Drosophila melanogaster: one gene and its partners. The protein of the gene in region 2 purifies or fractionates together with the protein of the main gene of each other region. This does not show direct contact. Each region holds a gene or a part of one and is shown on either strand. Other genes may lie near its edges.

Region 1 (8,232 bases), on a different chromosome or scaffold from region 2:
TTCTGCTATTCCCATATCTGCTTCCAACAAGAATCGCGCACGCAAAAAGAATAGAAAGAACTAATCTCGAGCCACTTGTGTCAAGCTTTTAGTTTGCCAAATTAGCAGTGGAAAATTATGATGCGATTTCGTCACCAAACTAAGATGATGATAACGCTTCAGAATTCCATTTTGCCAAACGATCATAAAATACTAGCAATTCTACGTAAATTTGTCTTTCTGATTCTGAGTAATTAAAATTCATACACACGCGTGTGTGGGTTTTCCTCAATTTATGGTAAGCATTTTACATATTGCACATTTTCTTTTTTGACATTTTTTGCGTTCCGTTCGTTGCGGTAGAAGCAAAAGCATAAAACACACAAAAAAAAAAGCACGCAAAACGCAAAAGCAGACAACACCCAAAAAGCAGAGCGCAGAAAAAAGCAAAGCATATAAACCAAAACAAACGTACAAAACAAACTTGTTGTTACTGCAATTTCTCGGTTTAACTGCACTCGGCAAATTGCAAGAGAGAAACTAAAGACAGGCGAGCGAGAGAGAAAAAGCGGGAGCAGAAACACGAGTTAAATGCTTTTGCTCTTGCTCTTGCTGTTGCTCTTGCTTTTTGCTTTATTGGTAAATATTTTATAATCCAAGTTTAATTTATCCCTTGCATTGCCCCACCTCTAGCCCCTTCTTGATTTCCCGCTATTATTTACCATATATTTTTTTTAATGAGCGGCGGCAAAAAGCTTACGCCCACACCGGCTCCATAGCGTAGTAGTAGTAGTAGTTGTAGTTGTAGTAGTCATTGTAGTAGAAAATGCACACGTAGTTGCATGCGCAGTTGTAGTTGTAGCGTAAGACGTAGTAAAAATCAAGATGATTGACGTGACGTAAGCTTGCGAGGGTTGCTCAATGGATAACGATTTGCGCGCCAAAAAGAGAGAAAGAGAGCCAGACATTGAACTCGCCGGCACAAATAAAACAAGTAGGTAGGAGTACTATAAAAATATAGATATGAAAAACACGTATTCTAGCTGGACTTTTTTTTAATGTAGTTTCCCTCTTAAATTATTGAGAAGTACAATATTTTACTTTTTTTTCTGCATTATTAATGGCATAATAAATCTTTTTTTGATGGGCAAGATTTATTCTTGTTTCTAGTCACGGGCAAATATCCCGTATTTTCGGCGCATACACGAGTTGTTAGAGAAAATGCCGCCAAGGAGGTAGGAAAATTTTGGGGCTGTCTGCCACGTGGCCAGTGACCAGACATCCTTGAAATTCGCACAACAACAGCCCGGAAAGGAAAAGCCAAGTAAATTGGGGTGTTGGCCCAAAAGAGAGAAATTGTAGTACATATATATATGTAAATATATATATTATATATGTAGTATATATATATATATGGGTTCTTTTTATTCTGGGCGTAGTTCTGCGCAAGAACATCATCATCATCCCCCGGGTGATAAGTTTTTCGGAAGAGAGAGGATGACGCCATGGAGCAAATAAACACAATGAGCCATGAAAGCCACGCGCCGCGCCAACATTTTCCCCATTGTGGGTGGCAAGTGGGAAAAATCATAAAGGAAAGTCCAGAGCAAGAGCTCAGAGCATTGAGCATACAAGCACATCGCAGCGAAAAGCACAAAAATCAATGGGGGAAATGGAAAACCACCGCAGACAGACGCCGGCGTCGCGTGGGCGGGTTTTTTCTTCTCTTTTTTATTGTTTTTTTTTTTTTGTGCAACGTAACAAGTTTACTACGTTTGCTGTTGACGTAGGCGTTTTCCGCCAATCGATTTTCCGGTTGCCTATGGTATACAGCGTACTTGTGCGTTTGGGCGTTACTCTGCACCCACACGAAACGGAAGTGCGAACACTAGTTGAATGTGCAACACCCAAAGGATGGATGAATGTGCGGGCGGGCGGGGGGTCATGTGGCCGGTTGTAAACTAATCGGCCGCCCCACGACGTTGTAATTAGTATGCCACTTTTGGTAGGCGTTTTAGACTGACTCAGGCGTAAACTAAATTTTAATGCATCCCCAGGGATCTAACTAATCTCTACTGTTTTGCCATGCATCCAACGACCAGACCATTTTGTATTTCTTGTAAGACATTCGGACTTTAAGCTTCCAATATTGATGAAAATGGGGCATATGAAAAGTATATAAATTTGACTCACCGGAATCTGAGGGGGTCTCCAAATTGGGACCATCGTCCACCATATCGTTGCAGCGCGTGTAGCTGTGATCGGTGATGTGCATCATGTGCAGCATGCCGTTGCTGTTGTTCTTCAATTTGTTGTTTTTGTTGTTGCTGTTGTTGTTGTTGGTGGTGATGCTGGCATTGCTGCCGCTTTTGCTAGTGCGATGATGGCGCAGGTCAAAGTTGAGGGGTTCACCGTCATCGGAGTCACTATCAGAGCCGGTCGTCGGCGGAGAATCCACTGTGTTGCGTCCAGTGGCTATATCGATGGCCTGTTGTTGCTCGTCCAGTTGCTGTTGGTTCAACTGCTGTTGGCCACCCGTCGAATTGGAATGCTGGTTGAGCACATCGAGGACATCGTTGATCGGCGGGATGTAACGCACCGGCAACGGATCCTTGCCGGTATTCTGAAGCTCCCTGCTGATTTGCTTAATGTAGTTGACATCGCTATCATTGCCGGTCAGCGAGATATTATTGCTGCCCATCACGCAGGCACGCAAGTCGACGTTATGTCTAAACTCTGAGGCGGCCACCTCGTCGGTAAGACTGTGAGGTGTGTCTGGTCTCTGGTATTTTATGCTATCGCTGCCGCTCAATTCGCCCGATTTGCGGATAATGTCCTGGTTGTTCCGCTTGCGGAGCAAACTTCCGCCGGGCGGTATTAAATGGACCTCGTCCTGGATCTGTGACTTCTTGTCACCGCCGCTCAAACGGAGGCGCTTCTGACAGACCGTGTAGTCCAGATCTGCGAGCTCCTTCTTGATGATCACCGGCATGTTCTCGGCACTGTTGACGACATGCTGTTGATTTGACTGGGTGTTATCTGTCGTCTGCGATCGTTGATACGCGCTGTAGAGATTCGTAGAGCCGGAAACCATCGCCAGGGATACGGCACCGGTTTCGCTGTACGACGAGGCTGCACTGTTTCCGCTCTCTATTCCATTACCGTTACCGCTGGTCAAACAGCTGGACATCGCCGGCCACATGCAGTCGATGTTGCGGATCTCTGGCTTCATATCCTCCTCTAAGTCATAGTCTTGAAATACACTTTCCATGTCCTCGATCTTCTCGAGATCACTCTGAATGGTGGACGACGAAAGGAGTTTGTCCATATCGTACAGATCATTATCCATATCGAATATTGAAATATTTGAAAAAAGTTGGTCGTCCATTATGGAATACGGATCAGAGCGGTAAAGGGCCATTGCGATTATGTTGTCTGGGTTTTTTTTTCTTTCTATATATCTTAAGTTCCTGAGTTATATGCCTGTCTGAAAAATATAGATAAGGCGGAAATCGTTGTAGGTATGATTCTATATTTGAACTTAATTAAATAAATATGTCGGCAACACACTTTTTGAAAACTTCTTCAACATAAGGATTTTTGCAACATTTCAACTATAATGTAAGAGTAACTAAACTCCTAATATTATTATTGTATTAAGTCACGTTCTACTGTGCCAGATTTCACCTATAATGACGTCAGGCGATGTCGAGGGTTCAGCAAATGTTATCAAAAGCAAATTTAGCTTATAGCTTCATTTATACACTATTAACCATTTGAACCCGAAATCGTCAATCTTGGCGCTCTTGACAATAGCAAAAAAAAAAAAAAAATACATATACTAATGAAATAAACAAGGGCATAAAAGGAAAACCAAATATCAAATACCCAATTCCAGTTACTGAAAAATAAACGGTCCTTTTACCGATAAACGCAGACCTGCAAAGCTTACTGTGCTTTTCCCTTTTCGTAGAATCCGTTGCATTCCGGTAAACAAGTACGAGCAAAAACTAACAGTACATGTCTTTCGCAGAATCGAACGCAACCCGGTATATATTGAATTTCAGAATCATAGTAAAATTGGAATATCAACATTTATTAAATTATTATTTAAATCTTTTTAAATTTATTAAGCTAATTTATTTCTTTTTTAATTTATCAAGCTAATTTATTTCTTTTTTAATTTATCAAGCTAATTTATTTCTTTTTTTAATTAATTGATTTATTTCTCCTTTAAAAAGTTTAATACTTTCGTAAAAATTTTGGGACCATTTTATTTAATTACTTTGGAGCCCCAGAGTTCTGGAATTTTCGAACATTACCAACTCGTTTCAACGCCATCAAAGCGTTTTTAATACTTGCCAGCATTAAGAAGAATTTCACAAAACAATAAAGAACTTTGTAGAATTTTGTTTTGCAAAATTCGTCCACTTCCACTTTTCTATTGTCTCACTTTTTGTTCTTAATTTCTTGTAAGCACTTGATTCTTAACATTCCTTCTGAGTTCCTAGAATCCGTTATTTCGTATCGATTTGTGCGGCCATGATCACTGATTTGTCATTGTGTGTGAGAGCACCGTTAAAAGTTAAGCTATTTCACCTTTCCCAGAAATTCTATTTTGAATTCCCCGTAGTGGCGCGATTTTTGAAGTCGTTGCGTTCCGATAAATAATATATATTATATATATATATCTTTGCACTCACCTCGCTGAACATAGTTTCCGTATCCGTCTCTATTTAATTGATTGTAATCCAATTTAGTTAGCTTCCTTTGCTTTCCAGTCGCTTTCGGCTATATCTATTTCTATCCCGTTCCCGTGCCGCCAGCAAGTTGGGCACTTTTTTTTTTGCGTCAAAGAAGGGGAAAGACGGAGAAAAAACACCAAAAAAAGGGACACAAAAAAAAATTCTTCCCGTTTATTTTGCACTAGCTGATTTTTTTTAAAAAATCTTTTTTTAATTCTAGTTTTTCACAAGTTTTTGTTTCTGCTTTGGAGAAGATTTTTTTTTATGTATTTGCGCGGTTTTAAGTCGGCTCTTAGGTTATTTCTGGGATTTAGCACTTTTGTAACTTGGCTGTGACAGTTGTTAGTAGTAGTTGTATATTTTAAAACGTGTTGCTTCAGGTTTTACTACAGAACTATTTATATAGCGTTTGGTTTTTTTTTTTTGTATCGGGCGGAAAACAGGCAAAAATCCAATCCACAAAGCGATTCTCTGAATTACCCGCGGTGAACTGAACACGCGACGCCACAGAAATAGTGCCCGTTTCATGTTGTCTGTGGCTTAAATAAAATTTCTATCGTACCAGACTGCCGCGCTCTCTGCGCTCTCACTGCGCATGCTCACTGCTGCTCTCTTTGCTGGAATTCGCTTTAAGTGGTGAGAATAGGAGCTTCAACAAAAATCTTCTTTGACATTTGGATCACATTTAGATCACATTTGGATTCATCACGATTTGTTAATACTCGAAGGTTTTCAAATAGTACGCAATGCATTTAAAATGATCAATGTTTCTTTGCCTCTCCCGCACACTGGTTCACATAACAGCATCAGTTTGCCGGTATTTTTTTTTTGAGTGAAAGAGAGTGAGATTTTTGAGTGGTGTTTACAATAATTGAGCGCAAACAAAATTGAGACAAATCGCAAATTGCTCCGTAAATAAAAACATAAACAATTAACTTGAACTGGCTCAAAATGTTTTTGTGAAATAAATGCAATACGAAAATGTGTAGTTGACTGGAAATCAAAACAAAATTTTATTCATTTCCTTAATTTACTTACGGTATGTATATTAAAATATAGAAATTAAATTTATAAATATACGCATTTATTTATGTTAATGTTAATCGACATAAAACTACAGGTTTCAATTGCTTTTCTGTGGCATTATTTGGGATTCTTCATTGCCGCATAAATGTTTCCTATTTTTAAATCGATTTATTTTAAGCTCTATTCCTTTTTGCGTAGAAGTTGCGAGAAGTTGTTCATTCCCTCTTGCTTTGGCGCCTTACATTTCTTTCGTATTTCCTTCTTGCCCTTTCCTTTATCTATGCATGCATTTACCGTACTTTTTTTTATGTGCGTGTGTGCCTTTGTCACCTCTTTGTCTGCCACGCAACTTCATTTTCCGTTTTGTCAAGTTGATTGAACTTGTGAACTTTGTAAACAATGCAGAATTCATTTAACAATAATAGAAAAGTTAGGCCGCATGGTAGAAACAAAAGAAGAGCCAAACATTTTGTTAACGAATTAAACGATGCCAAGGAAATGTAAAAAGAAAGGGAAAAGAATAGAAACCAGCCAAAAATATTACAACTTTGGAAAGAAGAAGTTGTGGAAGAAGTAGAAAAGGGTAATAAGGTAAAGGCGGATAGGAAGCAAGGGGACCTTGAATGAAAAATAGAATATAACATGCACAAGCATACGTCTCTACATACATACATACATATGTATGTATGCACATTCCAACAAACTTCTTAATAACTGTTTGTAAAATACAATGTACATAGTATGTGTACTACATACAAATAATGATTTGTGCATGTGTACATATGTTTATCGCACAAATATGTACATATGTACACATATATCAACCTTTAAAAATCGACTTGAAAGGACCTGCATTTTGAATTTTGCCCCTTTTAGAGAGTATTAAATCATCAGGTGGTTCCGACGCAAAGTTCCTCCCGCTTTCTACACCCCGTCGATTTTGTTACGTTTCGCTTTGATTTTCATTTCCACAACTTTTAGTGCACAACATAGCGCTTTTGGCGCGTGCATCTGCCCTCTCTTTCACACGCTTTGTTTTGATTTCGCAACGAGGCGAACCAGCAAAAAAAAAATGCACGCTGCACACTCGCCCAACTACTCTGCAATTTGCACATTTAATTAATTGTTTGTACAAGCGACATATTAAAAAAAAAAAAAAATTGTTTAATTCTTCTGTCAATGGAAATCACAAACAGCCCAATAAAATTCACCTTCCAACATTCCGCTTTAGTATCCATAAGCATACAAACAGCCATTCGTTGGCAAAAAGCGATATGCTCCACTTTTACAGGGTACAACTGCGTCACAGACAAAAAGAAATGGTCCCGCAATTTGCGAGCTTTTGTCCGTCCAAGTTCTCGATTTCAATAAGTAATATTTCTTGTGTTTCGATGTTTGCGCAATTTATGTTTGCGTGTGCTGCTTGTTTTTGTAATAGTATTAAACTATTTTCTGCACTTTTTTTTTGTTTCGCGGGTAAATGGAAAGTGTGCATGGCGAGATAAAACAACTGCGTAAATAACGGCAGCAAGTGGCTGCCGAGTTTCCATATCTAGTTTGTCAAGAATTTGCAAGCTTTCAAAAAATTGGCCGTAAAAATGCAATGCATTGGCAGTAAATCGAATAAACCGGCAGTTATGGGAAACATCGAAAATATAGAAAGAATGGAGCAACTCAGGAAAGTGAAATGTAAGTACATAAATATACATATGTACATACATACATATTAGCATTAGCAGGTTACGTTGTATGCACAACCTTATTGAGTGTATTGATAGTACTAGTACTAGAATGAGGTTCATCCCATTCGCAGGCGCATTTGACTCGGCATTTAACGGTCTACACGTGCAGCAACAATGTAACTTTGACGCCAGCGTCGACAGGTGTACCCGGCGTAATTGTTTTGCGATAATGCCGGGGCCTTGCAGTTGCAGTTATGCTCACCGTAGGCCAGAAACGATCGCCTTCCATTGATAAGGCGAATAATCGTAAATTGCATTGCGCACTAGTCTTTCTTTTGCAACAATGTCGCTATCTTCGACTTCTTATTTTTTTTCACGTTACCCATGTATTGGTATTTTACTACAAAAACGTAAAAATACGTTCAAATCTAAGGCGACGAAAAATCACACCCTCTCTTTAAGTGTTATTTCGAATTGTAGGTACTTTTATTATAATACGCAATAAGGAAAGTTTTACAGGTATTTTGATTGTATGGATGGATTCATGTCATTACATAAATACTAAAAATATTCATTCAAATATTCATAGAAACTCAACGTTTGCAAGGTGTACCGTACATGCGTGTATATGTATATGTGTATATATGTACGTACAATTGTATGTTATTTGTCATTCCCTTTTTGGCGCCATCCATCTATTTAGACGCCAATCGTATTAGAAGATAACGCATAAGCAAACCTTCAATTATAATTTATTTGAGGAGGTCAAGAACTCGAGTATTTTAGCACAAATAGCTAGC
Region 2 (8,061 bases):
TCACGGAGGCCACAATCCGCTGAACCGCCTGTCCCTGAAGTCCGCCGGAAAGCGAAACCAGGAGAGCATGTCGCATTCCCAGCCGAACGGCGGCTGGATAAACGGTAAGGCGGAAAACCCGGAGGAAAATCAACGAAGGAGCCGACTGTTCTAGGGTTGGTCGTGAATGGGGGGGGGGGGGCACGGCAGGTGCACTGCGTCTGTGAGTTATTGATTTTTCACACAACTTAAGCAGTGTCGCCAGGGGAGCGGGTGGTGGTGGGGCTGGACGGGAGGGGCGCAGTCTGGCAACACAAACAAAAACAACAGTGTCCCAATACGTTGCTATTTTGAGACGCTCCACTTTTAGAAGACAGTGAAACTTCAGGAATAAGAACTTCAGTTTTGAATTTGAACACAAATAATTAAAACCCGTGTGTAAAGCTTACATCAGCCTAGACTTTTATATGCTCAAAGATCAAGGTTTATTATCAGGGCTAGAATATGCTTAAGTCATGATTAAAATATTAAATACAGTTTGACAGGTACACACTGTGCCTACACAGCAAGGCCCCACTGTACCTGGGGTGCAATAATTGTGGAAAAAGGGGAGACCCTGGCATTTGTTATTTATGATGCACACGCAGCGGAAGTTGCACAAATGTGGCCACGCGTGCTGCTGATTCTGAGCGAACTGGGTGGGATCATTAGAACAGCGATACGTAACCCGTTTAGCCCAAATATTTAACCATTTTCCCAAAACTCATTTGCAGTGGAAACCCTGAACAATGGCAACGGGCTGCTCCACTCGCCGCCCCACAATCACCAGCAGCAGCAGCAGCAACAACAGCGAGGCGGAGGAGGAGCATCGCCAGCTGGAGGCGGAGGAGGTCCCTCTGCCGCAGCGGATCACAATATCCAGATAACGCAGCCTATCAGTGCTCCATCCTCGCCGTTGGCTTCACCGGGCGCCCTCAACAGCAGTGGCAGCAGCAGTGGTGGTGGTGCAGGAAGTGCCGGAGGAATCTCCGGCAGTCCCACCGCCTTTTGTCTGCCCTCCAGTTCCGCAGCGGCAGCGGTGGCTGCCATTTCCGCTACGCCCACCAGTGGGAGTGGATCGTATGTGTGCTCTGCCGGAACCAATTGGCATTTCGCAGCTGTGGCAGCATCCAACGCCATCGATACGGCTGATCCCAACTGGCAGGCCAGCAAGGCGACGGTCCTCGAGAGGAATGCAGCCATGTTCAACAACGAACTCATGTCCGATGTCAAGTTCATTGTGGGCGGAGAGTTCGGTAAGCGTTCTTTTACTTTCTTTAACCAATCAAACAGCATTGCTCATGACCTGCATTTTTCACAGACATCGATCCCATTCAGACCATTCCCGCCCACAAATATATTCTCGCCACGGGCAGTTCCGTATTCTATGCTATGTTCTATGGAGGACTGGCGGAGAACAAGCAGGAAATCAAAGTGCCTGACGTGGAACCCACTGCCTTCCTAACGTTGCTAAGGTAAGATATCCACATCCCAACCAACCAATCGGAATTGTATATATTTACTCTCTATGATTCCGCTTAGGTACCTTTATTGTGATGAAATCAAACTGGAACCTGAACACATTCTGGCCACGCTCTATGCAGCCAAGAAGTACATTGTCCCGCACTTAGCCAGAGCATGCGTCAACTATCTGGAGGTGAAGTTGACGGCAAAAAACGCCTGCCTACTTCTCAGTCAATCGCGTCTGTTCGAGGAGCCCGAGCTGATGCAACGTTGCTGGGAAGTGATCGACGCCCAGGCCGAGATGGCGGTTAAGTCCGAGGACTTTGTGGATATTGATCTCAAGACCTTTGAGTCAATTCTTTCGCGAGAGACACTCAACTGCAAGGAGATACACTTGTTCGAGGCGGCCCTTAACTGGGCAATGAACGCCTGCGAGAAGATGAGCATCGATGACACGCCGCAGAACAAGCGCCGGCTGCTGGGACAAGCGCTGCACCTCATCCGCATTCCCACAATGTCGCTGGAGGAGTTCGCTAACGGCGTGGCCCAGACAGGCATTCTTTCGTCGCAGGAGACGATCGACATGTTCCTGCACTTCACTGCCAAGATGAAGCCCTCCCTGGGCTTTCCCACACGCTCCAGGGCGGGATTAAAGACCCAGGTCTGCCATCGCTTCCAGTCGTGCGCCTATCGCTCGAACCAGTGGCGCTACCGCGGGCGCTGTGATTCAATTCAGTTTTCTGTTGATCGAAGGTAAGTTCTATCTAACAAATGGTTATTGGATTAAGGTAATTAAAACTGAAAATTTCAGAATTTTCATTGTGGGTTTTGGACTGTACGGCTCGTCGACTGGTGCTGCCAACTACAACGTAAAGATCGAACTTAAACGCCTGGGCCGCACGCTTGCAGAGAACGACACCAAGTTCTTCTCGGACGGATCAAGCAACACGTTCCACGTCTTCTTCGAGAATCCCATCCAGATCGAGCCCGAGTGTTATTATACCGCCTCCGTAATTCTCGATGGAAACGAGCTTAGCTTCTTTGGCCAGGAGGGCATGTCCGAGGTGCTAATGGGCAATGTGACATTCCAGTTCCAGTGCTCGTCGGAGAGCACCAACGGCACCGGAGTTCAGGGCGGCCAAATCCCAGAGTTAATCTTCTACGGACCCACCACAGTGACAGCAATGAGCTCGCCCACCAATTCACTGTGTCCCACGCCAATTGGTGGCAGTTCCTCCAATGCAGGAGCGACTTCAACCGCAGCAGCCGGAACAGCTGTTCCGAATAGCAGCAATGGATCTGGCAATAACGCCAACAGTTCTGGGGAGGATGGCGACGGAAGCACCTGATGCGCACAGCTCTATTGCGCCGAGTGGCAGGGAGCCTGTTACTACCGCCAACAGCAGCAGCAACAGAGGAGACCAACACAACAATACAAAACACAGCAACCGCAAAAGATACAGATACAAAATCGAAACTCATGGGTTTTCAGTGCAGCACAAGAAAGTAAATTGGAGTTTTAGGCTCATATATATATATATATATATATATATATACCAAGATAGTAGAGTACTCTAGTTTTCATAATAGTCCTATATATAAACATATATATACACGTCAAAGCATAGACACATATATATACACCTCGGCAGTGCGTTTTAAAACTCCAAGACGATTGTCAGTACGTGATCATCTCAAAAAAAAAAGTCAGCCGATGCAAGTCAATCGATATAGGAAATTTGCTATAATTGGAAAGTTTCCTTCGATATCCCAAGTATGTTAAGCAAGTGAAATCAATGGTTTTGCAGTTCTAAAACGCACTGCACATAGTCTGTTGGTAATGCATATAAAGATATTTTCAAAATCGAAAAAGTTGATCATATACACTCTTAACTTTATAGATAAAGATTAGTAGTTGACTCGAAAACTTAATACGTTCCACGACTTAAGAGGGCGGGATGGGGTCATATGGACGCTAATAGAGACGCATAGATACATGCAATAAGTGAAAATCGGGCAATCAGTCAAGCTAGCGTTAACCAATATTCTAAAGACAGTTAAAGGGAGAGTGGACAAAAGCTAATACGATATATACCAAACATATTTTTGCCAGCATATACCTAACATATACACACATCTGATCTGATAATGATAAACTATAGTCCTAAACACTTCGAGGGAGAATAGGCCATGTTAATAGTTGCATACGACGAATTTGAAACCCAAGTTAACCAGTTAACGAAATAGCAAACAAAAATGAAATCAAGGGATCTTGTACGAGATGCGCACAAAATCCCCCCTACATATATATTCAAATATTAATCTTGTAGTACGCATTATATCTATTTCGTAGTTGTTCCATTATATCTCTCATACATACACAATATGCCTTTCTACTGATACTAAGCCCCGTACTTCTCCTGTGCATTATTATAGCCTGCTGAGCGCAACAATCAGTTTTACGTTTGTATTTCGGATTTCTTTGGAAATTGTACTGATTTTTTGCTTTTGATAAGACAATTATGGTTTTTATATACATATATCTATATAAAATGTTATCCTGTATTGATTATGAATCTATTACCATTATGTACTTTAATCAAACAAAATACATTATTAGATTTTTGCGAATTTACTTTCTCAGAGTTGAAGATTTTGGATATTTTGACATCACGTAAGTAGTGCATAAAGAAAACAGGAACGAGTAGAGTATTGTTAAATACCTGATAAAAGGAAAGCAAGCAAATCTAACAAACCCAACAAAATATTTTTAAAAAAACAAAAATTAAGAGTGGAGCTATGGCTTGACTTGACTGTGGATTGGGATTTAGGTGTATAGTTTAGTATTCACAACGTTCACTCACCCAGAGAAGGTATGTTGATACAAAGGGCATGCGATAACTTTAAGTAGGTACGACCAAGCTCATAGGAACAGATTTGCTGTACGTCGCTGATGTCGATGAGGAGATCTGTGAAGATATGAGCAGTCAATAAGCTACTCTTTAGGCAAAATGAATGCACTACTCACGGGAGGTGCCCTCTGTCCTGCAGGTCATGTACACGCAAGCGGCGTAGATGTGGGTGCTCTTCCTACCGCGGGTCAGATGCCTACCCAATGCCATCTTGAAGAAATTCAGAGCAGTATCTGCATAGTGCTGGGATAGCTGCAGCTGCTGGCAGAGTAGTGTGATGTCCTTCTTGGCCTTTTTGATGGTCACCTCGCGGGATTCGGTGCCCGATCCCACCTGAAACTTGCCGTAGCCATAGTTGGTGGCACCGCCCGACGACTCGGCGGACACAAACTGGCCAATTGCGGCTGCTCCATGGCCAACTTCCTCGAACTGCACTTCGGAAACAATGAGGGAATCCTCCAATACCGAGCCGCAGTTCATGCAAACTACAGTGAATGGGTGAACGTCGTTAGTGTCATGGATATGGGTCCTTGGATGTCATTATACCTCGATCTCCGCGAGCATTGTCTTCCTCGATCTCGTTGGATCCGCAATTGCGACATTTTAGGCCCGTAGACATGATTGTTTGTTCTTTGCTTTAATAAACACTGCCACCTGCAACGCTTCGTTTTTATCCGTTGTTTTGACAGTTTAAACTACTTGTTTGCTGTCATTTGAAAGCCATTTTCGAGTCTTTTTTAAACAATTTGCAATTTGTTGCCAATTGAATCAACACGCTTGGAAAACATCTGATTGAACCCCGCCGGCGTTGCTTAACACTGATGATAGAAGAAGAAATGCTAGAGATGCGCATTTCTCAATCAAGAACGACATTGGCACAACTGCTTGAAAAACTTAAAAGAGATATTAAAATTGTAAAAATTACGTAAAGCTGGTTCCAAAAATTATGTTCTAGTTTATTTGGCAAATTATCAATCAATATTTGTTTTTCATTTACATTGGAATATATAATAATACAGGTTTAGCATCGTGTTCTTAGGTGCACATCTCTAGTAGAAATAGTGTTAAAGTGCCGGTAAGGTGACTAAGTATTTTGTTGACATATTGAACAAGTTGGACCAAAAGGAGTATACAGTCATCTTGGACTTAACTTATAAATATTAAGTAAATATTTTAATACATATTTATTTTAAATTTACATATTTATATTTACCGTGTGTTCTTGCTTTTGTAACAGTGTCAAGCTTTGACGTCATATTTAAAGAAAGTCACCCCACTTTGTTCCACCCTGAGCAGCGGAATAAACAACAAGTCAAGTCAGCGTTCAATTTTCGAAAGTCAACTTGAATTAAAAAAAAAGAAAAGCCGGTCAAAATATATCAGTCATGGGCGATGCTGATCGTGCGATGAACGAACCAGAAGCCGCGAAAACTGTGTCCGGAATCCAGGTGATTCCCGCCGAGGATGTGGCTTCCATTGAGGATATAATCACAATCGATCCGGACTGCTACGAGCTTGATCTGAATCATCGCCGGATCGAGAAGCTGGAGAACTTCGAGCCGCTGACTCGAATCGAGCGCCTGTTTCTGCGCTGGAATCTGATCAAGAAAATCGAGAACTTGTCCAGCCTGAAAACACTGATTGAGCTGGAGCTGTATGACAACCAGATCACCAAGATTGAGAATTTGGACGACTTGCCCCACCTGGAGGTGCTGGACATTAGCTTCAATCGTCTGACGAAGATAGAGAACCTTGACAAGCTGGTCAAGCTGGAGAAGGTCTACTTTGTGTCGAACCGGATAACCCAAATCGAGAACCTGGACATGCTCACCAATCTGACCATGCTAGAGCTGGGGGATAACAAACTGAAGAAGATCGAAAACATCGAAATGCTCGTGAATCTACGACAGCTCTTCCTGGGCAAAAATAAGATAGCAAAGATCGAGAACTTGGACACATTGGTCAATTTGGAGATACTCAGTCTACAGGCCAATCGCATTGTAAAAATCGAGAACCTTGAAAAGCTTGCCAACCTCCGCGAACTCTACGTTTCGGAAAACGGAGTGGAAACCATTGAAAACCTCTCGGAGAACACCAAATTGGAGACCCTCGACTTGGCCAAGAACCGGTTGAAGGGCATTGCCAATCTGGAAAAGCTGGAACTGCTCGAGGAGCTGTGGCTGAACCACAACGGAGTCGATGACTGGAAGGACATTGAGCTGTTGAAGGTGAACAAGGCGCTGCAGACCATCTACCTGGAGTACAATCCGCTGGCCAAGGATGTTCGCTACCGCTCCAAACTGCGCGACATACTGCCGCAGCTGCAGAAGATTGATGCCACCCTGTGCAAGGTGCCCGGTACCTAGATGGAACCACTGTAAACCCCTTGAAAGACTAATCCACGGCGTTGCGCCACTACATTTATATCGATTAACTTTGAAAAACTGCGTTTAAAATATACATACAAATTAACCACTAATGGTTCTATCTACGAATTGGTGGGTGCAGTGATTTAGTTTGCTTTCAGAAGAAGGTATATTTGGATAAGTTACTCAAAGCGTGAAGTTTACCTAATGAGTCAGATAAATTATCCATCTAGGCTACCGCCTAACATATAAAACTAAAAAGTATTTTATATATACACATAAATAATGTAAATTGAATCTAAAAAGATGAAAACATTTTAGTTAAACAATTCTGGTTTCTCTTAAACCAAAACAATACATTTCAGTATGTCAGAGTACATTCAACGGAATGTATTTTTATTTATATCAAAGTTATTGTTCTATCGATTGAAATCACAGAGCTCAACTGATAAGTGGCTTTCATAAAGGCCTTTGTCTTCATTCTTTCCCTTTGTGGCAGACATGTTGTGCAAATATGCTTATCATTTCATTTTTTGACAAAGTATATGAGGCGTCAGTTGGATTGCTTTTGGAGGAGTTCATCAATTCGAAACAGCGTAATAGTCAGAGGCGCTCACTTTATGAGGACCTCCATAGAAGTCCAGAACAAAGATATTGCTAATTTCCAGTTCGCAAAGGTAGAAATTGTGAGCTGTAAAAGAAACAACGTATTTATTATTAGTACATACATATCGAGCTCTTAATGAGGTTCGCTTTCACCAACCTTTTACCCAATTGATGGCAGCTGGATGACGCCTCACATAGGCATCCAGCGATGGCTGATAGCTTTTGTCGCTAGGATCCATCTTCAAATGAGCCAAAACATTCTTAATCCATTTTAAATAGGATTTAATTCATTTTTCATACCTTCTTCACCTGTCCACTGATCATGGAACGGGCACATGTAGGCTCCATGGGATCCTTTCCGCCCTCCTTGCATCTTAGGGTCTGCTCGTCACTGAACAGGAGTGTGACCTTGTTGTCCTTCTGCCAGTCGGGACCAGTGAAGTCCAAATCGGTTAGCAGGAATCGAATACGTCCAGTGGACCTGTTATTAGCATCGCTGTCGTCGATGGAGATAATGTTGACCATGGGATACCCCTTCACCCGTTCGTTGGTGGAGAGACTTCCCACAGCCGCCCAATTGGCGCGATGGACCAAATCTCTGGCGATCTTGGCGTGATTTAACTCTTGCTCTCGCTTATATTCTCTAATTATACGCTCATCTTTCCGGCGGGAGTAACCGGAAGAGGGGTCCAGGC
Region 3 (6,517 bases), on a different chromosome or scaffold from region 2:
ATCTAACTCTTGAATACATTTTTAAACGAAATGAAGTGAAAATCGTTGAAGAAACCGTCCAATTAATTTATGCAAATAATGAATCTGCATAGTTTGTAAGTTTTATACGTATATACGCCTTCATATGAACCACAATTAGTTTATAAATTCCCAACACAAATCTCACATAGCCATGTACATGAAGCTACTAAGCGAGAAACAAGGAAATTTTTGTACACAACTTAAGAATGTCGCTCCTTTCCGTACCATAAGAATCGAATCGAATCTCTATGAAGTGTCTTGTGTTTTCTTTTGTAATAAACGAAACCTGAAAATAAATAAAAGTAATGTTTATCCAAATGTGTTTTCTTTTCATGGAATGTGTTGGTACACTTCAGAATTTGTGGATTTGAATATTTTTCCCAAATTCCAGGAATGGGTACAAAAATGTATAAAAATTCAAATTACTTACAAATTTATTATTAATTCAAAGAATAGAATGAAATGGATTACAAGACATTAATATATAAAAATTTATTTAAAATAACAACAGTTTTTTTTAAATAAAAATTAATTTGCTTAGTAAGGCCAAAATAAAATCTTACAATTTCTATGAATTTACCCATGGAAATTATTAATTAAGTTGTTTCATTTCACATTTTATACTAAAAAAGTTAAGGTAAATATATTAAAAATATTGTAGTTATGGAATATAACTAAGCTAAACAAAAACATTTGGATGTGTAGAAACAACTACGTCTTGCGAAAACTTAGTAAAATAGGTGATATCGCCTCCAGGCAGTCCATAATGTCCTTGCGCGACTTGGCGCCCGTAAATACAACCTTTCCGTTGACGAAGATCAGGAGAACGATGCGCGGCTTGACCATGCGATAGATTAGGCCTGGAAACATCTCCGGTTCGTAGGAACTAAACTGCCCGTGCACGTGGTTGAGGTTCTCCAGGCGGATGGGGAAGCGCAGATCAACGGTGGCCACAATATTCTGCAGCTTGTATTCCATGAACTTTACGGGGAATCCCAGCTTCTGCAGGATGCGTGCGAACTTTCGCGATCCAATGTCCGCCTCAATCTCGTTTCGTGCACCCGTGCAGATGACCTTGCCCGTTCGAAAGATTAGCGCTGTGCACCTGGGCGAGTGCATTCGCATGATGACGCCACGAAAGCGCTTGGGCGAGTACTCCGAGTTCCTCGTACGCGAGTTGATTGCCTTGAGGTCCAGTTCACAGTTCACCGAGAAGGTGGCCACGATATTCCTGCAAGTTATGGATGTATCAATGGGTTTCTATTTATTTCATGAAGTGCCTCTGAAAAGTGGTCAACCAACTGCAATCGTATCTCATGTTGTGCATCCTTGGGCTCCACCAGGGCAACGGGCTGTTGCGGCTGCAGGGCTGCGTGCGGATTGGCGGCAGCATTGCTGGTCGCAGCCACATTATCCCTGTCCCTTTCAGCGTCCGCGACTTTAAAGTGAAACTGCATTGCCGAAAATTATAAACAAATCCGCACGCGACGTGGCCAGTGTTGTCCTATTTTATTGCTGACGAAAATTGTATGCCGGTTTGGTATTTTTATTTGTCTAACTTTTCTCATGACTAAAAAGTCAGCACTGGTCACACTGGACGCTTTTAGCTTGCAAGACTTGTAAACAAAATTAATAAAACTAAAAAGCTGACATTATTGCATAAACTATGGGAGTAACTATCCTTCAACCGTATCCCTTACCCGAAGGCAAATCGGGTGCCCACATAATCGATCAGCTGAGCAAGCGTCTGCTCGCCCTGGGCGCCACACATGCCGGTCAATTTCTGGTGGACTGCGAAACGTTCATCTCGACGCCACAGCCGCACAATGGAGCACCTGGACGCGCAGTCCACGTCCTGCACAACTCCGAGTATCCCGCCTCCACGTTCTCGATCATCGACAATGGCACCGGCAAACAAGTGGCCATTGTCGCCGACAATATCTTCGATCTGCTCATGCTCAAGATGACCAACACCTTCACCTCCAAAAAGCAGACCAAAATCGAGTCCCGTGGCGCTCGTTTCGAGTATGGTGACTTTGTTATCAAACTCGGTTCCGTCACCATGATGGAGCACTTCAAGGGCATCCTCATCGAAATCGAGTACAAGTCATGCGTGATTCTGGCCTACTGCTGGGAAATGATACGCGAAATGCTGCAGGGATTCCTCGGCATTGCTGTGAATAAGGACTTTCCCTCCTATTTCGCTCCACAGACAATAATGACGGCAATGGGGCAACAGCAGCTGCATGCCAAGCACAACGACATCTTTGAGCCAATGGACACCGTGAAACAATACCTGGAGCAGTTCACCAACTATAGGAAGCATGTGACTCTTATGGGCGGTATGGGCAGTGGACCGGGTAGCCAACAGGTTGGTCCGAACGTGCATATGTCGCCGGCGGTGGCGGGACTACATCGATCCTGATCCGCCGACGTCAAGCTGGAGCCACCGGATGAGCCTGCAGCCGATTAAGATGTTTAGAAGATAATTTAAACAAAAAAAATATACATATGTCACTAATATTTAATAATTAAATAATCATTATTTTAAAGCTAGCATCACTAGTTTGCTTTACATATTTTAGACGAATAAACAAAACATTTATTAGCTTGTCCAAATACGTTTAAAATATTATAGTTATATATATATATATATATATATTTTGTGCAGTGTACAGTTTTTTTCATATATTGGTTATTCACTACTTTTTTATGTATTTTTAAAACAGCTGATTGGAATAATGATTAAAGCTGTGTGGTATCCCTGCTCGCACGGCATTTTACCGTTAATGAAATCTGGCCACACAGTAGGCCGAGTACTCAGTACTATCGGGCAAATTGACGAGATTATTTAAACAATAATGTCGGCCCACAGCGGCGGAACGGATTGGAATTCCGTTGTTAAAGCCCTGATACTTAACCGTACAGGAGCCTTAAACAAGAACGAAGTTGTTAATTTGCTCAAAGCTATCACGCGATGGTAAGTACAAACGATCATCTAGAACTTTTCGCCTACCGAATGGCGTAGTGAAAAATTTTCTGCTAGTGCAAAAAGTGACTTGCAAAATTAAATATGGCCGCTCCGGTGACGAAATAGCAAAAAGCTTTGAAAATTCTTTAATATCGAGAACTAACAACGCTCTATTCCGATATTTGCATAGCGAACATGACTTTTTCGAGGAGGAAAGCAATTTCACGCAGTTTTACACGGCCTTTGCGGCCCTGGCGGCGGACAAACTTATGCAAATCAAGACAAGTAAGTGCACCCTAATGATTTTTCGCCAAATGAAAACAAAACAAAGAAATGTTTGGCCAAGAATCGAGTGATTCACTTGCGCCAATTCGCGTTCGCTACATTTATCATCTTGGTGCTTTTCAGTTTGCCAGACGCAGATTTGTCAGTTGCACGATGCCACCGCCGTGCTTATCCGGTTTATTATCTATAGACTGCCCAGGGTGTCCGTCTACGAGACCAAGTGGCTCCTGGGCGCCCTCAAGATGCTCTGCGAGGGCCGGGAGTGCCCAGCATCAGCGTCGTCATCCATGTTCGACTACAATGCGGTGGCTAATGTTCTTAAAAGCTGCAAACATCCCGAGTCGACCACCAAGAGCATTATGCCCAGCAGCAGTTCCTCCGGAAGTGGGGCCAGCAACGACAAGGAGTCGCCCAAGTCGGAGATTAAGCGATCCCGGTCGGACCTGTCCTCGGTTATTCTGCAGCAACTGATTGCTCCTTTAGAGCCCGGCAAGATGACTTGGGTTCCACTCAGCGAGGAGGTCACCGACTGCACTGTGAGCAAATAACTTAAACTCCTGTTTTAATAGCTTCCCTAAGATCGGTCATATTTGTCTGTTATTATTATAAATTACTCTTGAATTGAGTAGGTACGGATATATTACACAACTAAACTAAAATGCAATATTCTATCTAATGAAAATATTTATCCTACTCGATCAATTTAGAAGTTGTGTATAACTATTAGCTATGAGCAAATTTATATTTTCTTAAAAACGAGATACGCAATATTAAAAGCTTACTTCTTTCAGGAACAAATCCTGGCGGCCAATGTGGAGTACTTCCAGGAGCAAAACGGAGTGGATACCCTGCTGGATGTGTGTGTGAGCCTGCCCATACTCAATCGATACCGATCCAAATATATGGAGACCATCAACGGCGGTAAATCGCTTTATTTGCCACTGACCCAAGTGGAGGCCACTGCAGTGAAATCGAGCATGAATCACATGCTTACTGATCTGACTATTTTGAGTCAGGCCCAAGCCCTGATCGAGATGCAGCCACTGACTCCCAGTAGAATTGAACGACTATCAATGTGTGGTATTGCTGCGCTATACAATGCTGTGTTGACCTCAATAGCCACCAGTGTTCTCGGTATGAGCCAGGCCAGCAGCTCTCAGAAACAGACTGCATCCACTAGTCAAGGAAGCGGAGTAGGAGGTTCTAGTGGTGGGCAATCCAACAAAGACCATGACGACTTTGAGGATCAGGCCTGTAGCATAGTGAACAAAGCTTTAGAGATCTACTCCAATATTGGTCACATGTTCAAAACTTCGGCCAGGATTCATGTATATCAGAACCATCTCTGCTATGGCAGCTGGCTGCTAATTAGCGGTATACAAGGAGCAATGGGCGCCTCTGGAAGCGGTGGATCTAGCTCGGATTCGGCATCGAAGTCGGCGTCAAAAGCGACCAAGTCTGGTAGTGAGGCTGGAACCGCACCTACTACACCTATTGCCAGAGTCAACCTTTTCAAGGTACAGCAAGGATTTGGAGAACTCAATGCAGCTATTGCTAACCACAGCATTAAATTGCTCTCAGAGCTAATAGAAGATCTAAAGGTTGAAGCCGCATGCGGACAGAGTCTCGAATCCACAGAGCTCCCGGAGCCTGCACAGTTCGATATTTTGCAGAACTACAGTTCGCTGGAGCGGATTGTCCGCGTGCTGAATACAGCCACTCTGCATCAACTTTTCACTTTTCTAGCCACTGTGGCTTATCGCAAGGCATGCACCTTAAAGCGCGCTTCCGCCAAGGATCGTACGGAATGCGAACCCATAAGCTACTCAGATTCTACGACTTATTTCAACGATTCTCTCTCCTGTTCGGACAACTCCGAGGAGGACGATAGTGAGAGTTACCTGGGCCACTGGTTTAAGGAAACTCTTTCTCCAGAAACCCATGATGATAATGCAAACACATCCACACAAGAGCGTGCTGAACAGAAGAGCGCCCTTGTCCCCAAGCTAGATGAGCCACATGAGTATTTAGACTTGGCCGCAGACATATTCTGTTTCCTGGATCAATTTTTGGCCAATCGACATGCCTACATGCAGCGCTATGTAAAGGCAGGCGTTAGTGATCAGCAAATGCTGTTAATGGCAAATATAATCAAAGATTTTGACCGCGACGTGATGCGAAATGAGAGCGATCAGGGGTCGGGAAATGCCCCAGCTGCCAGTGCAGGAGCAGGAACCTCTGCAGGAGCTTCTACCAAGTGGCAGACGTCGATGATTCGATTTTCGGGAGCTGCAGGCCGATATATTCACAATTTGATTTCCACTTCATTGCTGTCCGAGCAATTGCAGTCAAATCTGCTGCAGCACTTGTCTATATCGCCATGGTCTACTGATACAAACACCTGGCCTTTACAAGTTTATCCGAGTACTCTGTCTGTACTGGTGCAAATTCTTTTGCTGAAGCCAACACAAGAGAAGGAAGCCGCCTGCCTGTCCGTGTGGCACCGCCTTATTAACACGTTGGTGGAAGGAGTTTGTTCTTCGAATACCGCCAGTGATTCTGACTATGAAGACCTTAACATTGAGCACGCCCAACTGCTGCTTTTCCTATTTCATTCGCTCAATCTGATGCAAAAGAAATCCATTCTGCTTTTAACGGCTGGCGGTGTTATCCGTTGCGCAGAAGTTTGTCGTGGAATCAGCGAGGATAGACCCGTAAAAAACAGCCAAATTATGCTGCTGTCTCGCTTGCTGCTCTTTTTGGAGTATCTTATGAAGCACTTGTACAATGCGCCTCCGGAATTGCTAGACCAGGTGCGCTGGAATCTTTTTAGTGTGAGCAGCATGCCGGACACCCAAAAGATCACGGATCTGCTAAACTGCCGAACCAAACTGAATTCCTATTGCCGCCATGATATTGAAGAGAATTTCCGCAAGTCGGCCGGCGAATATGGCTCATGTAAGTGGAGAATTTAATCTCCAATTCCAGCGATACTCAACCATCTTGATTTTTTTTTTAGCAATTCGCCCAACTTTTTACTCTCTGGTAATGGGTGATCCCGAGATATCCTACTGGGCTCAGGAATTTAAGCTGGATGGTTTGGCTTGGAACTTTATTCTCTGCACACCGGATAAGCTTAAATATCCGCTACTGGTGGATGCATTGACTGACATACTATCCATCACCGACATGTCAATGTATTCCAAGGAAAAGGACAAGGAAGCGAGCATGCATAATCTT
Region 4 (8,969 bases), on a different chromosome or scaffold from region 2:
ATGGGCTGCAGTTGTTGACACAGTCCGTAAAAAGGACAAGGACGTTTATCCTTCACATCATTCAAATACAGCTATCATATAAAGAGAGATGCATCCTTCGTATCACATGAGTTCAATTACACTTTAAGCAAACTTTAAATGAATTGCATAAACGGACCAACATCTCGGGAAATTATAAAAACTTTAATCTTTACAATGATTACTTATCCATATCATTAAAACTTCCCATGAAAAGCGACCAACTGCGAACATTGTGCCATTCAAAATGCTGAGGAAGCGAGGACGAAAGCAGCAATGACTAAGCCAGAGCTTCTTGCGATCCACAGCCAAGCTGATTTAACATGGCCAGAAGCACCAGAATGCGGATGCAGAAAACCCCCAAGTGGAAGTCCAAGAACAAGTGAATCCATAGAATGGCTTGCCAAGTCGTTGGGAAAACTGCAGTGCATGGAGCCAGAACGACGGAGGAAAAGAACTGAAAATAAGTCGTGGCAAATGCAATCTAAAGCGTCGCCACTTACCAGACCACCAGGAGTTAGCCAGAGCAGCGCAGGACGAAGAACTAAGGAGGACACCACAATGTGCCCATGGAGACTTGGCATGGGGCATTGTAAAGCGATTTCAAAATGTGCTGAACTCTTAAGTGATTGAATTGTTATCTGGTGACATGAATTTGTCCGCTGATTTCAATGGTGCCAAGCTGAGACTTCGCGCTGCACTGCAAAGATGGCAGATATCTTAATGCAAGTTCACATATTATTATATACTAACCTGATATGTATCAGCATGTTGAGAGAGAAGCGCAGTCTAGTTACCCCATTAGTACGTGGAAATTCTTGCGAACTGAAGTACTGGGAAGTAAAATAGGGACCTTTCTACGATACAAATAATAATTGATATTTTAAAAAGATTTACTTATAAGCCATTTAAATATCCATTTCATAAAAGTAAACAGGATTTAAAATATGATTTTTGCATATTGCACCAATTCAAGAGTTTTTTTTTATAAAAGCAAACTTTAAGCAACTACCATTTTGGAAACAGCTGTAAGCTCATGCATATCCATGCCATGCACTTTGCGTCGAGTCACTGCCGCAGTGCCAATCTGCAGACTGGGCTATAAGGGTTTATCGTGGTCATGTCCGTGCCGCAGTTCCTGTCTAACACATCATACATAAATGTTGAGCTGCAAAATGAATACTGACATGTGGGCCAAGGGACAATCAAACTCAGCCCCTTTTAACCGAAGTCCGAAAAGTATATATTAAATATATATATACACTTGTTTTTACATTTAACAATGTATTTAAGGTAACATGCAGCTGAGTCTCAAACTCATAATCATAGATCCCCATCACTGGGCAATTCGGCTTCTTCAATCTTACGTATTGTCTCCCAGCTGATAGGTGACTTCTTAATCATCTCAATGGGTGCCTTACAGAATGGACAATTGCGAAAGTCCATAAGGAAAAACTCCTAGCAAGGAAGAGAAAAAAGATAAGATTTTACAATACAATAAAGAATTTGATATGGGTAGGGAGATGCCTGATCGAAGAAATAACAGCGCATATCTATATATACGCGTATTATAAATATGTACTATTAAATACAGTTCCCTTCGCTAATCTTTTGTATAACTCGGTCCTATGGGGCAACCACCAATTGGTGTTACTAGCTATATCTATCTTGGTGGCATATTACATAAAATCCCTCAAAGGGGATATCCTTAGGTGTTGTCCCTTAAGAGGACCACATACATTTGGATGCAGATCACAAATCTGGGCGAGGCGACCATAGAAGTACTGATGGCATCGTTCGCACTCGTATGCGGTGTTTGAGCGCATGCAGATGCAGTGTTTGGAGCTCTTGTAGTCGTCTGCCAGCTCGAACTTAAGCTTTGGCTGTCCATCCGTCTCCTTTAACTTGGGGCCTAAGTCAGAAATGTGGAGACCACGCTCGAATTTGTGGTACTCCTCCTCCTCGGATTCCAGTTTGGTCGGCGGCTTGCGATTGAATGCTTTGGACGGACGCTTTTTTGGAATGACATCCTTCAAGAATGGAGACGAAAGATTCCAATAGCATTTGGAGAGGCGAGCGGCTATTGGATCATTTCCCTCGTTGGCTGAAATACACGCTGCTTTAGTGGATCAGATGTGGCTATATAAAGCTCATAGTTACCGAATGGCATTGTTTTTAAACGGATATCGTCACGCACAAAAAATTCTCAAATGAATATACAAATATTTGTGAACTTGATATTCCCGATAACAAAACTTTAAATGTTTGTCGACGCCAACTTGAGGTAACGCCGCTTGGCAGTGTTGTGAATTGCGAGCAGTATCAAAACAAAGTATCGGTATATGTATTTATTTTTTCGTCTTTTTTAAATCATTTCGCTACAGTGCTACGCTTTATCACTGTACTTAAGGAATAGGTGATGTATGGATTTTCTACATATTTTCATTTCTTTCTTGTTTTGCTATCAATGATTATTTAAGTCCAAAAGCGCCTTAAGTCGAAATACATTGTTGTGAAACTTGACCTATACCATCGAAATACAAAAAGTAAACAAACGCAATTTGGTTCATTACAATTGAAAAATTGGCACATTTCCATAATGTTTATGTATTTCCTTACGTACAAACTATGTAACATTACAGTTTTCGTCTAGGATTGATTCTTTTTTAAATCCCGGAGACTCACAAGTAATTTGCATGAGCGTTGCGAAAAGCGCATTGTCGAGCGTACATTAAAAAATTCATCTGCGGCAAAATCATATGAGCATGCATATTAACCGTTTGTTTTAACATTTTGGCTGCTTAGTTCTGGATGTTTTGGGCAGCGTTGATAATAATTTTGCCTCTTGCGCTCGCATATGCAGCCATTTTACTTGAAGTTGGGATAATTGTACGACTTTTGAAACTACATTTTAATCCGCGTTCTGACGACACCTAGACTTTTTCCAACTGCGACAGTATTGCAAAGCTCCCGATCTTATCGATAAGGTAATTGACCCGATAAAATATACATTTCCTTTAATAAATTAATAATAATTCAAGCTCAGAAGATGGTAGTCTCAGAAAAAGGATTTTATACCTTAAAATAAATAAAATTCCTCACGAAAATTGAGGAACAATTATGTATAGCTGTGACTGTGAAAAGTTTAATTAGACAATTGGATTTTATCCAACAAGAGTAGGTTCTCATTACACGGAATTAAAAAATGTATGCTCATAAATAGCATATTATATTCCCAGATAACATTCAATGTGGTTTGTGCATCGAATAAGTAAGCAAGCGTTCGAACCAAGCGCACACTATAGTTGTCTCTTTTTAGCCTGCTCATAGCACAAGGCAGAGCGATGGAGTGAGAGGGCTCGCACATTAAAAAGCGTCATTCTGATCGCTCCCAGTACCGCAGGCTCGTTGGTCTAGAGGTATGATTCTCGCTTCGGGTGCGAGAGGTCCCGGGTTCAATTCCCGGACGAGCCCAAGTTGACGTCGGTTGTAATTTTTTTTTGTTTTTTAAATAATTGCAATGTATCTTAATCCCAGTTTCCTAAGCCCCCAAAAATGTAAGTATTTAAATTTACAATTATTGCTCTCCTTATTTAAATGAAGACGAAATAAAAAAAATCCATGACATTCATAAGCATGATTTGGATTTTGGTTCAGTTATAACGGATGTGTCTGAAAATGAGTTTTTAACATTTTTTTTTTCAATAAAAGGCATTTCAAGAAAAATGATAAAAATTCGCTTTCCATTTGTAATACGGCGTTTGTAGAATATCCCTTGTTTGATTTTTAAATATAAATGTATAAGTCATCTGCTTGTTGTTTTTGATTTTGTTTTTAGTATTATGGATTTGAAATACTTAGAGCAAAACGGGTATCTCCACAAATCGAGTGTTCAGATTGATTACATTTTCATTAATTTCCTTTTTTTTTGTTCTCCATTGTTCGTTCCAATGTTTTGAGTTTGTGAGCTTGAATAACCCCAATCGAATCAAATGAACACTCCTCAAATTGTAGGATTGCTTTCGTGTTTGTGTTAATATTACTTAATATGTAAGCGCTGCCGCGTCCTTGTCTGTATTTTGTGTTTATTCGTAATTCGTAATGCATTGACTTCTGTTTTCTGCTTTTGTTTTTTGAGGGATGCAGTCGCTGCTTTAATCGATCTCAGCGGATTTTCTTACTCGTATTCCAGCACATTTTTATGGTAGAACAATAAATAACTGAAAGAAGTGAAAATAAGTAGTTAGTTAATAATGATTTGATAATCCGAATAAAAAGCTAAATAACGTTGTATATGAATTTAAGATAAGACGTGAAATCAACTTAAGTAAGTTAACATTGAATGCTGCTTTTGCGGTGATAAAGTTGTAATATATTGGTCATTCTTACCCCTCGCTGTCCAGCACCTGCTTGAGCGATGCCATCGTTATCACATGATCATCGCACTTGACCCACGTGTCCTTCTGGTGCCGCACATACGCCGTATAGTGGCCGGTGTCGATGGTGCCCACATGATTGACCACGGCGTACAGAGAGAACCGGAAGTCGCCGTAGGCGTTCTTCTTCTCCGACATAAAGGGCGTCATGTCGAACTCCACGGGGAATTGAATGAACGAGGAGATCTTGCGATCGATCAGAGCTGAGTGCTCGAAGCGTTTCAAATGGAACGACACCACGCTGGGCAGAGTGCGCAGGCTGAACTGTTTGGTGGACTCCTGGTAGGATTTGCAGGTAGAGCACTTGATTTTGGCCGCCGATCCGAGATGCTCGGCCCGAGTGTACCGCTCCAGGCAGTCTATCAGCGTTTTTGGAGTAACACCACCATGCGTTGTTGTTTCGCCCAGGTCCAGCGAAATGTCCCAAAACGGATCGTACGTGGTGGACACTCCGTTGCAGGCCTGGCACACCACATCGCTCTGCAGCATGCCCGTGAAGATCTGGTCAATGATGCAATTACACTGGCCGTAGCAATGCGAGCTGCTCGAGTTGCTGGAATTGGTTCCACTTCCCGAGCCAGAGCTGTTGCTCTTGCTTTCGTGCTCCGCCTTTGCCTTCACGCAGTGCCGATGCAGCACGTCCAGAGTGGCGATGAAGAACTCGTGCGCATCCTGCTGCTCGTAGCCGGCCAAGTGCTTCGCATGGTTCCAGATTAAATGCAGTAGCCGGTGCAGCGACAGCGGCGAACGGGAGCCGGAATAGAACTCCTACAAAGGGGGATAGCATATCGAATAGAAAAGACTCCTCATAAACACCACAGCATATTGAACTCACCTGGAAGAGACGTGACACTTCACAAACGAGACATTTGTGCGATGACTTGCTGCCGCAGTCGTGACGATCTGACATAAAGTAATCGCTGAGCAGGGGCGTGTGAACCAGAGCCTAGAGGAGACAGGAGTAAGTCAGTGAGAGGAGACTCGCCAGTTTAATTGGATTTGCCCACCTGGACGATGCAGTTCATGAAGCAAGTGGCGCCCAGATTAAGCAGACCCCTCAGTCCGATCGTTTGATTGGGCCTCACCAGCCGACGCCTCGCATTGGCCAGCAGCAGATTGGTCTCCTTGGTTGTGGGAACCCACGGCACCCAGCCGATGCTCTTCTGCAGATCCTTCGCCTCCAGCTTGCGGTTGATCAGCGCATACTCGCGACTCCGCGCGTCGTAGATGAAATCTCTGCAGGCGTAGCAGTAGAGCGTTCCGTGGGACAGCTCCAGGGCCACATTGTGCTTCTTGGATCGCAGGTGACTCGTGATGTGGGCCCCCCGACATCCGAAGTAGATGCAGTGCAGGCAAGCGTACAACTGGATGCCGTAGCTGCCGCACTCGAAGCAGTTGCAGTGAATAGCCTGGCGGAGGTAGATTTTAAAATGGCAGCTGATAAAAAATTATATTCGTTTTTTTTCTAATCCCATTAACTTTACAAAAAATACGTCCCATACTAAATGCATAAAAGTGTAACAAAAATTTGAAAACTCTAAATCTCGTAAGCAATATAATATATAATCAATATGAAGCTAAAAATACAAAAGCCATGTAACAATATTAAATATTTTGAATATATTTTTCTTGATATGTAATTTCACCGTAATGAAAACAAAACTTTTTCGATGCAAAAGTATTTTTCACAGTGCCAATTTGTCAGCTGTTAAAACAGCTGTTGCATGCTTTACCCATTCAAAAAAGTCCGCACTGCTTTGTGGTGAGAACGGTGCGTTGTCTGCCACTGTCATCCCACAGCCGGGGTGTCAGTGACCTTTCACGTGACTCACGGCGCACCTCTGATTGTAATTGCGTTCTCCCCTTCGCACACTCGCACATTCTCACCTCACCACGCCAGTAGCGCACTCATTCTAGCTCCCACTCTCTTCCACGCTACTGAACTCACCTTTCGCTCGCGCGCATCTCTGTTGACGCAAGCAGCGAAGTAGGCGTCGATGACCCGGAATGTATCGTAGCTGTGCTCCTTCACATAGCTTTGATAGTGCCGACAACCCGTCTCGGACATGACGGCGCTGCTGGCGTCGGCGCTAGCGTTGGCTTGGGCGCTGGCGTCGCTGCCGGCGTCGGCGCTCTCAAGTTCAATAGCAAGTTTTTGCACGGTACGCAAGCAGTCCGATAGGCGCAAATGTTTGGTGGCATCTAGGGGGTTTTTCGCGTCCCTGTGGCCCTTTGCTACTCTGTCTCGCTGCTTGTCGCTGTTAACTGTTTTGATTAGATCGGCGGTGATAAAGCGACCGGCATTTGTTGTTGTCGCTGCTGCTGCTGCTACTGCTAGTGTTTCGTTCTCGGCCGTTCCCCGGCCCGCTTCTGCACCCACCGCCCACCGTTCCGTTCCCCTGCCGAAGCTTCGGCCACTGCTGCTGCTGCTGCTACTGCTAAATACGCTCGTATTACTATCAACACTATTCTCTTTTGTTTTCGCCCGTTTCGCCGACGACTGCAGCGGCACGAATGCTTTGTCACACTTGCGCTGTTTTCGCCGAATTTTGGCCACTTTTGCGGTTCTTCGCCGGGCGGCCCAATTTTGGAAGTAGTTGGGCTTTTTTTTTGTGAATTTCTGTGATTTTTCGCTTGCTTTTCTTGTTTCTATTTCGCACTGCACGCAAACACATACACACGCGCGCATATGTGTTGGTAGAAGACAGCTGTCAGTGTGACCAGTTGCGAAATCGTACTCAGATGTTGGCATTGGTATTTTTCTAATATAAGAGTATTGAAACATTTAAAACGGAATATTAGTTTAAATAGAAAGTAAACTAAACCATTCAAGATAAAGTTATATTGAAATGGAATCTCTATTCGGGTTATAGGAACAATAAAAGGTTCTAGCAGCCCAAATATTGAAATGCATCCATATTCGGATAATTACGAGCTACTTATTCCTCAAGTTTATAATGGGATACAATTTTGTATACCAGTAACCATTCTTTATTTTTAGACTGGTCCCATTTTATTATAAAACGGTTAAAGTCGCCCAGCTGATGTGTTATCGACAGCAAGCAGCGGGTGGCGCGCAAAATAAAAATACTAAAAGTTAGACGGGAGTCGAAATAATTTGCAGGCACTTTTAGATATGCGAATAAATAAATATTAAGTGACAAATCAGTCGTTAGCACCTTTTTTTCCTTGAACATCCCTCACTTTCGCATTCTGCTTTTCGAATTGCCAACGATTCGATAACTCCGCTGCATCGCTATACAACACTGCTGCATTTGAAAATACCGACATCTGCCTGCGAGTCGCAGCAGGCGCGCTTGTTTTATTTTAAGTCGAAATTAGGCGACTTAGTGACTGAAAAAGATGTACAACGACGAGGTGCGAACGCCGCAAGCCCTCAAGAATCGATACATTACAAATGTGAACGGATTGAAGTGCCGGGCGCGCCGTAACAGCCACTCGAACAGCAGCAACTCGTCGGCGGCGTCGGCAACGCCAACGAATGGCGGCAAAGAAAATGGAAAATACAGCCCCCAGATGTCGGGAAATGTGTGCACCCCGCCCCCGAAAAGGCTGCACAAGGTGCGGAATCCCTTCGAAGGAGCGATGGCCGATCGTTTACACCTGCCACTGATCGCCAGGTGAGTTTTTCGTCTGCTCGAAAAATCCTCTTAACGCGACCCTCTCTTTTCCTGGCAGCCCCTCACTTTTCCGCTCGCGGACACCCCAACTCTCGTCCACCCAGTTCGAGTGGAACATTGACGAGGTCTCCCAACTAAAACCCGCCGACGTGGAGCCCCATGAAACCCAGTTCCACGATTCCCCCGATCCCGAGCAGGAATCCAAGGCCCAGTTGGCCATCAGTGCCTTTTTCAAGGAGTCACTCATTGTGCCCAGTCCGGTGGATTGCCCATTGCGAAAACAGCGCATAATACTCAATTGCAGCGAGGACAACACTCCCATATCGAATAAGTCGCGAAGGATGCGGGATTGCGAGGTGCAAACGGAACTTACTTTGCCGCCGATATTGCCAAAAGCCCTAGAGGATGCCCTGCGTCCGTACTTCCAGCCACATTTGGCTGGCCGCTTGTCTGGCAGGAGCAAGTCAAGTGGTGGTCCCGACATCTTTAATAGTTCCATGCGCCGGAAACTCTTCGATCTGCACAATGTCATTGTTTTGGGCGAACAGGACACGGCAGAGCCATCGAGGTCCATGGTGGGCTCCAGTCCGCAGGGCAAGCAAACAATGTTCGCTGGCAGACTGTCGGATTCCGCATCCGGGGAAAGTAGCTTCGGCTGCCTTTCACCCATTAGAAACCTATGCGGACTGCCGCCTGGCACGCCCGATAATGGTACTTGCTCGGGAAAGAGGAAACTTCTAATGCACGAGCTGGAGCTGCCGTCGCCCATTGCCCCGTCGGAGCATCTCAGTCGGAGATTGGTGCACTCCAAGGTAGAGATCAGCGTTACGGAGCAGCACGACACGTTGTCAGAGCGCACGGCATTGAAGTTCAC

What was found.
Region 1: the proteins of Brf (region 2) and Myc purify together in Drosophila melanogaster (affinity purification with western blotting; one study listed by BioGRID). This does not show direct contact.
Region 3: the proteins of Brf (region 2) and Trf purify together in Drosophila melanogaster (affinity purification with mass spectrometry; 3 studies listed by BioGRID, with this or other methods). This does not show direct contact.
Region 4: the proteins of Brf (region 2) and not purify together in Drosophila melanogaster (affinity purification with western blotting; one study listed by BioGRID). This does not show direct contact.

What each region holds. Positions count from the first base shown.
Region 1 is NC_004354.4:3,370,174-3,378,405, reverse strand, and holds the start of Myc (Myc), read right to left. Parts: upstream 5,248-8,232; 5' UTR 4,683-5,247; intron 3,467-4,682; exon of another isoform or gene 3,463-3,466; 5' UTR 3,401-3,462; coding exon 2,173-3,400; intron 1-2,172. UniProt on the Drosophila melanogaster protein: Participates in the regulation of gene transcription. Binds DNA in a non-specific manner, yet also specifically recognizes the core sequence CAC[GA]TG. Seems to activate the transcription of growth-related genes; required for cellular proliferation and growth.
Region 2 is NT_033777.3:17,386,150-17,394,210, forward strand, and holds the start of Brf (Brf RNA polymerase III subunit), read right to left. Parts: upstream 5,189-8,061; 5' UTR 5,014-5,188; coding exon 4,941-5,013; intron 4,880-4,940; coding exon 4,511-4,879; intron 4,452-4,510; coding exon 4,347-4,451; intron 4,117-4,346; exon of another isoform or gene 3,006-4,116; coding exon of another isoform or gene 2,294-3,005; intron 2,236-2,293; coding exon of another isoform or gene 1,561-2,235; intron 1,494-1,560; coding exon of another isoform or gene 1,340-1,493; intron 1,275-1,339; coding exon of another isoform or gene 753-1,274; intron 105-752; coding exon of another isoform or gene 1-104. Other genes in the region: lute, read left to right, coding at 753-1,274, 1,340-1,493, 1,561-2,235, 2,294-2,831; sds22, read left to right, coding at 5,780-6,760; CREG (cellular repressor of E1A-stimulated genes), read right to left, coding at 7,342-7,451, 7,524-7,605, 7,667-8,061.
Region 3 is NT_033779.5:8,067,932-8,074,448, reverse strand, and holds Trf (TBP-related factor), read right to left. Parts: upstream 1,555-6,517; 5' UTR 1,479-1,554; coding exon 1,324-1,478; intron 1,253-1,323; coding exon 733-1,252; 3' UTR 501-732; downstream 1-500. Other genes in the region: MED20 (mediator complex subunit 20), read left to right, coding at 1,688-2,446; poe (purity of essence), read left to right, coding at 2,883-3,001, 3,183-3,277, 3,401-3,813, 4,069-6,235, 6,297-6,517. UniProt on the Drosophila melanogaster protein: Acts as a transcription factor. Binds to the TATA box promoter element which lies close to the position of transcription initiation. May be essential for embryonic development.
Region 4 is NT_037436.4:18,614,970-18,623,938, forward strand, and holds not (non-stop), read right to left. Parts: upstream 7,161-8,969; 5' UTR 7,144-7,160; coding exon 6,403-7,143; intron 5,864-6,402; coding exon 5,462-5,863; intron 5,401-5,461; coding exon 5,290-5,400; intron 5,223-5,289; coding exon 4,408-5,222; intron 4,239-4,407; coding exon 4,196-4,238; 3' UTR 3,837-4,195; downstream 1-3,836. Other genes in the region: CG13380 (uncharacterized protein), read right to left, coding at 1,342-1,476, 1,758-2,122, 2,179-2,188; bora (aurora borealis), read left to right, coding at 7,818-8,095, 8,154-8,969. UniProt on the Drosophila melanogaster protein: Histone deubiquitinating component of the transcription regulatory histone acetylation (HAT) complex SAGA. Catalyzes the deubiquitination of histone H2B, thereby acting as a coactivator in a large subset of genes.